2 linked regions of the Macaca fascicularis genome follow. The protein of the gene in region 1 interacts with the protein of each later gene in a pairwise test. Links are inferred from orthologs where the notes say so. Each region holds a gene or a part of one and is shown on either strand. Other genes may lie near its edges. The genes, in order: CREB3L1 and FXYD3.

What was found.
Region 2: the proteins of CREB3L1 (region 1) and FXYD3 interact in binary tests that used the Homo sapiens proteins (3 or more experiments, as listed by UniProt). The two-hybrid records come from large-scale screens. The link is inferred for Macaca fascicularis from reciprocal best matches to the Homo sapiens genes CREB3L1 and FXYD3.

Annotation. Positions count from the first base shown.
Region 1 is NC_088388.1:19,578,978-19,583,373, forward strand, and holds the start of CREB3L1 (cyclic AMP-responsive element-binding protein 3-like protein 1), read right to left. Parts: upstream 3,045-4,396; 5' UTR 2,595-3,044; coding exon 2,493-2,594; intron 1-2,492.
Region 2 is NC_088393.1:42,357,495-42,361,793, reverse strand, and holds the start of FXYD3 (FXYD domain-containing ion transport regulator 3), read right to left. Parts: upstream 2,945-4,299; 5' UTR 2,930-2,944; coding exon 2,857-2,929; intron 1,126-2,856; coding exon 1,042-1,125; intron 931-1,041; coding exon 877-930; intron 1-876. UniProt on the Homo sapiens protein: Associates with and regulates the activity of the sodium/potassium-transporting ATPase (NKA) which transports Na(+) out of the cell and K(+) into the cell.

The sequences.
Region 1 (4,396 bases):
GAACGTTTCATGCCAGGCGTTGTGCTACATTAACCTTCACTTTAATTTTCTCTCGAAATGCCTTCAGTAATGCTATGGTTCTAATATTTCCATTTTTCAGATGAGGAAACCAACCCCCAGAAGAAGTGACTTTTGGCCGGGCGCGGTGGCTCAAGCCTGTAATCCCGGCACTTTGGGAGTCCGAGGTGGGTGGATCATGAGGTCAGGAGATCGAGACCATCCTGGCTAACACGGTGAAACCCCGTCTCTAATAAAAATGCAAAAAAAATTAGCTGAGCGTGGTGGCAGGCGCCTGTAGTCCCAGCTACTTGAGAGGCTGAGGCAGGAGAATGGCGTGAACCCGGGAGGCGGAGTTTGCAGTGAGCCAAGATCTCGCCACTGCACTCCAGCCTGGGCGACAGAGCAAGACTCCATCTCAAAAAATAAATAAATAAATAAATAAAGTCACTTTTCTGAATTCTCCCGCTGGCTGGTGGCAGAAACACAGACAGAATTAAATCTCTTGATTCCCAGCCCAAGAGTCCTTTCTCTCTTTCTTTAGGCACCCCATCTTCTCCCGCTGCCTCTCCTGGCCCTGCCCAGGTGCAAGATCAGGAGCCTCCCCAGCAGGGCTTTTCCTCCCCAGTGTCCCAGTGCTGGATCCCACTGTCTGGTCGTGCCTCCTTTCCTGTGCTGGACCAAGGCCCAGATGAGCAGCTGGGGACACAGGGCTGAATGGAGCAGCAGGAAGAGGCTGCGGGCGGCTGAGTTCATTCAGAAGAAAGCCCAACTCAGAGCTTCCAAGGGCCGAGGGAAGCTTACTGCAGGGCTCTACTGCCTCCCTTGACTTCAAGGGTCTGAGCTCTGACAAACCTCTTTCCCTCTGACTAGTGTCTTTTACCAACCTCAAGAGAAGGTGTGGATCCCCTGATCCCTGCTGCTTTATTCCTGGGATCTGTGCCAGAACCATCTGTAGGAAGACCTGATCCAACATCTCCCCCATTTTACAGACAAAGAAACTGAGGCCCAGGGAGGAGATCCAGTGGTATGGGCCAAGCTCACAGGGGAAGCAGAGCCAGGACTAGAAACCAAGTCTCTCTGCTGTCAATGCAAGCCCTCTCCCCTTGTACCCTTGTTCTGTCTGATGAATTATGCTCTCTCTGCCTGGGACAAGGGGCCTTCCTCAGAGCGCACAGTGACCAGGATGTGCTGTTTAATGGAGAACAGGGAGACCTCAGTCCCCATGCCTCCTTGACTCTGGCTCCTGTCCCTTGGCCTGGCTCCTCACCATCAATCTAGTGGCCTGGGACAGTTTAGGTGGAAGTCCAAGATGCTCAAGTCCTCTAAGGACTTGGCTCTTGCCTGGCCAAGTTTATCTTGGTCCTGGGAGGTAGAGATCAGCAGGTAAAGAGTCTCAAGTGCTTGATCACAGGGTGTGTGTATGTGTGTGTGTGTGGTGTGTACAGGCATGCACATGCAACTGGTGGTTCACTGAAGAGGGGGCTCCCACTAGATTCCCCAACAATCCACATTTCATCTAGGCAGGCCCTTCTGAACCTAAATATTTTCTCCCATTCTAAGCCCATGCCCCTCCCCCATCAAGGCCTTAGGGCTGAGCCTGAGAGAGGGAGGGAGGGAAGAAGAGAGAGAAGCCACGTTTCCTTAGGGAGGGAGGGGAAGAGTGAGAAAGAGGAGAAAGACAAGCTCACAGTCGGACCTAGTCAAGAAGACATAGGGAGAGGGAGAGAGAAAGTCAGCCAGACTCCAGGAACAGAGGGACAGAGCAGAGATCTAGAGGCAGATGGAGAGAAAGGGCTCCCATCCTCCTGAGCCAGCACCCTGTGTTGCCCTGACTGCCTCCCCCCAGCCCCCAGCCTCAGGTCCCTCCCTGGGGGGGGGGTCTCTGGCCCTGATTCCCTGGGGCTGCCATGGTAGCACCCTGAAGTTTCCGGGCCTGACTGAGAACCCGGGTCTGGCTCTGATCCCCGAGGGGCGTCGGGTCTCAGACCCTCAGAACGCTCCCGGGTGCGCCTCCCAGCGGAGGTCCAGCCTAAGAGCCACAGAAGCCCCAGGGGAGGCGCAGGAAAGGGCGCTGCCACTTTGCGCCCAGTCTGGTCCTGGAACCTGGGGTGGGTTGGGACGGCTAGAAGACGTGGGTGGAGGGCGGGATTGGCGTCTCTTGAGCTCAGATCCAAGGATCGGACGGCCCCGATACCTCGATGACCCCTTCCCCTAGAAGGTGGAGGCCAATGTGTTCAAGGATTGCGCCCCCAGGAGGGGCGCGCACTGGCACCAGCTCCGAGGCTTAGGTCAGGCGGGGGTCCAAGGGAGGTGTCGAGGGACCTACTCGTCAAATCTCGGAGCTCCAAACACATGTCGCTCCGGGAGACCCTGCGCTGAACCCTTTCCCCGCTCCTGCCCAGTGATGTGTAGTCGGGTCCTTCTAGGGGCCCAGGCGCGCCGCGAAGAAGGGTGCCGAGGGGTGGAACGGGAACGGAGACCCTTCGTCTTACCGCATTGTTGAGGAAGTCCGACTCGTTCAGATCCCCCAAGTCCAGGAAGCTGGATCCGGGGAACAGCCTGTCGGCCGGGAATGGTTCCAAGACGGCGTCCATCGCGGCCGGCTCCCGGGACCCCCTTCGACTGGGCTTCCCTCACTCCAGGGCGGCGGCGCGCCCAGTCCAGAGCTCCTGCCTGAGCGCTGGCAAGCGGGCGGGGGGCAGGTCCGGGGCGAAGCCCCGGGGGAGGGGCAGACGGAGGCGGCGCGGCCCCGGGTCGGGGGCGCGGGGGGCGCGGGGGCCTTAGGGCAGCGGCTAGGAGCAGGATGGGCTCAGGGGCCCCGGGCGCACTGTGGGCATTCAGCCGACTCCACCTCCTCCTGCTCCTCCTGGGGCACAGCTGGCTTCCATGGGGAGCCCGGGGGTGGGGCTGAGGGCTTGAGGAGCCCCCCGGACAGGGTGGGAGCCGGGGCGGGGGAGCTAAGCGCTCCCCCGAGACTGGGTGGCTGCCGGCCTCTCCGCTGTCTCTGCTTCTCCCTCCGCACCGCTTCTGTCACTTTCCTCTCTGTGAAACCGGGAACCCCTGGCTGGCTACCCCAGCTGGCCAGGGCGCCACGCCCCCACATCAATATTCACAATAATTTAATATTAATGAGAAGAGGGCGTGGCTCGAGGAATCCTCTCTCATTTTTTAAAGAGACATCTGCAACTTCGTCTTCCTTAGTCATCTGTCTTCTCTGAATGCTCAAGGTGGGGGCTTAAAGCAACAATAGTCCTGGAACCGATAACAGTATTCTTGGAACATTGGCATTTTGTTAAGGTTTCACCAACCACTGTCCCGTAAGTTGATGAGAGAGCTATTTCCATCCTTCCAGCCTTATGCTAAAACCTGCACCAAACCCAGTCAGGGAATTCCATTTCACAGTCGCCTCAACAGATTTCCCCTCAACGGGGGAGATTTTCAGCTTTTTAAACAATTTATTTATTTATTTATTATTATTATTTTTTGATATGGAGTTTCGCTCTTTTTGCCCAGGCTGGAGTGCAATGATGTGATCTCGGCTCACTGCAACCTCTGCCTCCCATGTTCAAGCGATTCTTCTGCCTCAGTCTCCCGAGTACCTGGAATTACAGGCACGCCCCACCACACCCAGCTAATTTTTGTATTTTTAGTAGGGACAGGGTTTCACCATGTTGGCCAGGCTGGTCTCGAACTCCCGACCTCAGGTGATCTGCCCAACTTGGCCGCCCAAAGTGCTGGGATCACAGGTGTGAGCCACCACACCTGGCCAATTTTCAGCTTGTAACTCTCATTTCTCATCTCACATGTGTCTTCCTCCAGGAAGCCTTCTCTGAATCCCCAGGCTGGGGCAGTTACCAACGGTATACACCCACAGGGCATCATGTGCTCACCTCTGCTGTTTCCAGTCTAATGTGGTATTGTCTTTGTTTGCTCACGTTGTTTGTGTCTGTGACCCCACTAAGCTGTGAGACTGCTCAGGGCAAGGACTGTCCCCAGCTTCCCTGTGTGTGAAAGGGCTGGGTGAACAGCCAGAGATAGGAGAGAACCCCTCTTCTCCTTGATAGTCAAGTCCCTCCCCATCCCTCAATGGTTCTGAAGAGGAGGAAGTTGGAAAACAGTGGTTCTGGAATCTGAATGAGCCAAGGTGCTTGCTGGCTGCACACTCCACAGTCACCAGACACTCCCGGGGCCCCGGGATCCATTACCTAAGTGACTTGCTCCTGCGTACAAACTTAATATCTCAAAAGGGCTGATAACAATCACCAAGCACCTGAACAAATGGAGGTGGTTCAGAAAGGCACTCCCTCAGAGGGCTGGGCACACTGTTTTCTGACCAGAAGTCATTAATACGATTAAGTGTGTCCTCCCTGTCTGGGACATTTAATTAGCTCAGGAA
Region 2 (4,299 bases), on another chromosome or scaffold:
GGTGGCACATGCCTGTAATCCCAACTACTTGGGAGGCTGAGGCAGGAGAATCACTTGAACCCGGGAGGTGGAGGTTGCAGTAAGCTGAGTTCATGCCACTGCACTCCAGCCTGGGCAACAGAGCGAGACTCTGTCTCAAAAAAAAAAAAAAAGAAAAGAAAAGAAAAGAAAGAAAGAAAAAAGAGGAAAAGTGTTTGGAAGTTAAAGATGCAGTCGCACCGAGCTGAGCCTTCTACTTGAAGTTTTTGGAAAATTTACAAGAGAACTGGCTGGGCAGTTATCTTATTTCAGTGCTTTGAAGGTGTAATTTCATTGTATTCTAGCTTCCATTATTTATGTTTAATAGTCAATCAAGGCCAGTGCAGTGTGGCTCGTGCCTGTAATCCCAGCACTTTGGAAGGCTGAGGTGGGAGGATCAAACTCAGCCAGAAGTTTGAGATCAGCTTGGGCAATACAGTGAGACCTCGTCTCTGCAAAATATTTAAAAATGAGCTGGGCTTGGTGGTGTGTGCCTAGAGTTCTAGCTGTGTAAGGCTAAGGGAGTAGCATTGCTTGACCCCAGGAGTTCAAGGCTGTAGTGAACTGTGATTGCACCATTGTACTCCAGCATGAGTGACAGAGACTCCCTTTCAAAAAAAAAAAAGAAAGAAAGAGCGAGAGAATGGGGAAGATGGTGACTTTCCAGCTGTGCGAGCCAGCTCTTCTTGTGTATCCCTGGCAATCACTAGTTTGACTTTACTTACCCTCAAGGAGATGCTGTTCTAACATTTACCACCTTCCCTGGGGTGGTAGAAAAGCACAGGAGAGAGACAGAGGCTTGGCAGCCCCCCATCCAGGGGATCCAGAGGAAAAGGCAGTTGGGGGATGGGTACTCACCTACCAGGAACACAAGCAGGCCCAGGGTCACCTTCTGCATGTCAGAGCGCGGGCCTAGAGGGGTGGCAGGAGGTCCGGCCTTAGCAGAGCCACTGGGAGGCTGGCCCTGTGCCTATGGCTCCCCAACCCTCCTCCCCTGCTCCCCAGGCAGGGTGCGCAGTTCACCCAGGGCAAGAAGGCTGACATCTCGCTGGGCTGAGAGATAAGCTGCAGCTGCGCCGTGGAGTGGGGACTGGGTGAAACTCGGGCCTGACGCGGGAGGAGCCATAATAACTCACTGGACATGGACCAGGCTTTCTGTGAATCGCCCCGCAACCAAATGAGGGCACCACTGCCCGCTGTTGTCCTCATTGGACAGATGGGGAAACTGAGGCTCTGGGAGGCGAAACTAGGTGCCCTAGCCAGGAAGCAGGATTTAAGCCAGGCCTGGCTCCCCAGCAGCTGCTCCTAACTAAGGACTGTCAGGGCCTTGGGGTGTTTGGGGAAGCCAGGTGCTGGGAGCCAGGTGGCAGGAGGCCTGCTTCCCGGGGGTGTCTCCATAGACGGCTCAGAGCCTGCCTGGCCCTGCCAGGACATTGCAGACTTCAGGCTGCGGACTGAGCAGGTTCTTCAAGCTGCTCAGGGCGGGGTGTGTGGAGCAATTGACTTGAGGCTGGGACTGGGGGTAGAGGGGGACAAACTCAGCCTGGCTGCAGCCCTAGCTCCATCTCTGTTCCCCAGAACCTCCTGCCCCTCACCCCTCACCCATGCCCTTCCCGGTCCCAGCCCTGACCCTGCCTAGCCTGAGTCCCCAGCCCAGCCCCTGACCCTACCCTAGGCCCCGCAGAGCACTTTCTTTCCCAGGTAGACCTGCTCAGCATAAGGAACTTGTTTCTCTCTCCTTCCTGACCTGGCATCAGTCCTGCCCTCCCAGCCTGCAAGGCTGCACCAAGCCCGGGCCTCCAAGCATGCCCTCCCCTGCCCTGTTCCTGCCCAAATGCTGAGTGCATAGTTATCATAACTGTTTTTATTTTTTCTCTTTTTTTTGAGGCGGAGTTTCACTCTGTCGCCCAGGCTAGAGTGCAATGGCACAATCTCAGCTCACTGCAACTTCTGCCTCCTGGGTTCAAGCAATTCTTCTGCCTCAGCCTCCCGAGTAGCAGAGACTACAGACGTGTGCCACCATGCCTGGCTAATTTTTGTATTTTTGGTAGAGACAGGATTTCACCATGTTGGCCAGGTTGGTCTCGAACTCCTGACCTCAGGTGATCCACCCACCCGGGCCTCCCTAAGTGCTGGGATTACAGGTGTGAGCCACCGCACCTGGTCTAGTTATAATTTTGATAGCGAGAGCTGGTACTTCCTCCACCTTGCCCTGGGGTGCACACTGACCTTGCTGTGTTCTCACTCAACCCCCCAGCAATTTCATGGACAGCAAAAATGCTGAGAGAGGGTGGCGCCACAACCAACGGGTGGTCCCTGCAGGTTGGCACAGACTCCTCCCTCTGCCTACGCACCCCAGGGCCTGGGAATCCTCTCAGCTTCCCAGTTAATTCCACATGCTGAACTCACAATTTTAGTTTGAGCATCCATTTCTTTTCCTTTTTTTTTTTTTTTTTTTTTGTGGGAAGAAAGCCTGAGACTTTGGGGAGCATTACTGAGACCCAGGAAGTGTTTAAGATCCCCAAAAGTGTTGGGGGTCGGGGGACCTGGTGTGGGTGGGTGGGCAGGATGGCATGGTGGATAGGGGCACAGGTTGTAGGTAGACTGCCTGTGGTCTGAAGCTGTCACCCATAACCATATGAGTCCTGATAACAGCAGCAGATGTTTATTGAGTGTCTACCCCACGGGGCATTTCCTTAGCTTCCCACTTATTTGCTCAATCTCTGCAGCTTAATGTAGGGGGCACTATTATTAGCACACATTGCAGTTGTAATCCTGTAACCCCTGCAAATTCATCTTAAAGCCCTATGCTCTGTCGCCGTGGCTGTTGAGTCTCACCTCTTAAGCCTCTTTCCAGGGGCTCCTCCAAGCCACCTCTGGCCTGCAAGGCCCCACTATTCCCCCTTCCCATGATGTCATCCAGCCAAGACTAACAGATGGTATTTGCCTCGCCCCAGCCCCAGCCCCAGCTTCTGCAAAACAATGTCCAGCCCCACGTTTCTGGAGGCTGCAGGGAGCCGGGAGCTGGGTCTGCCCTCACATTCCTGATTCAGGCTATTGCTGAAGAGGCCCTGGACTGCTCCCAGACCAATGTGGTTGGTGGGCAGGTTAGAGAGGAAGGCAGCCCTGCAGCTGATGCTCTGTCTACCTGCCCTGATCCTTCCTGGCCACGAGGTCCCAAGGCCGGCCTGAGGACTGTTTGCCCCACCTGCCCTCTGCTATCCCCTCTATTCCTCCATACTGTAGGAGAAATGTCTCATGTTCAGGGGCGGGCAGAAAGATCCTGCCCGCTCTGTGCTCCTGAAATCTCCCAAGCAACTCCGTATTTACAACTTCCCCAACAGCTCTGTCCTCTTTTCCTGGAGGTTTCCAGAATCCACATCCCTCAGTGCCTGGACACCCCGAGTGCATCTAGCACTCCTCATCCACACAGATGTCCCCAGTCCATCTACGCACACCTGGTCCACTTAGATACCCCTACCTACCCAGGCACCCCCCTCTCTTCCACCCAGATATCCCCAACCCAGATACCCCTAATCCATGCAGACATCAGTCTTCCCAGACACCCCAACCACACTTACCAGTCCTGCCCTCACCCCAGCCAGCTCAACCAGTCCCTGAGAGGAGAATGGTGGGGAAAGGGACATTAGGGGAAGGGACTTTCTCCTATCTCCTGGCTCCAGAAAAACATTTCCAAAGATTTTAGGCTCTTTAACAGCAGAGCTTGTGTGTGGCAGGGTCAGTGGGCAGGTAGATACTCCCTCGTTTAGGGGCAGAGCCAAGGAGGGCTTGGAGGAAGGGGGCCCCAGCTGCTCACCTGTGTGGTTCACCAGGCTGAGCAGAGGTTCCGGGAGAAATCGGGGCTGCAAGGCGGAGTCCTGCCTTTATCCGAAGCTGCCACGCCCTGAGCAAACCTGGGCAGGTAGAAAACAAGTCAGATGCCCTAAGGCCCAGGGGCTCCGTTCCTGCTCTTAAAGAGACAGCTTCACCCCCTCCCCAGCCATCCCAGCCATGGGCAGCACGTTGCTCCCGGGGGTCACCAGGGCCACAGCAGCCTCAGGTGAGACAGAGAATTGGATGGGCTGGAGCTCGGTCCCTGGAATTAAGGGAGGAGCGCTCTCCAATCTTCTGTGCCCAGGAGAAGACCTTGAATGGGGAAGGTTCTGGGGTCTTTAAAAGGCAGAGCCTCCAGGGCCATGCAGGGAAGTGATGTGTTGGTGTTCCGACCTGACTTCTTTCCCTTAGATGATGTGTTTTGCCTGGTGGAAGGACTGCTGGCAA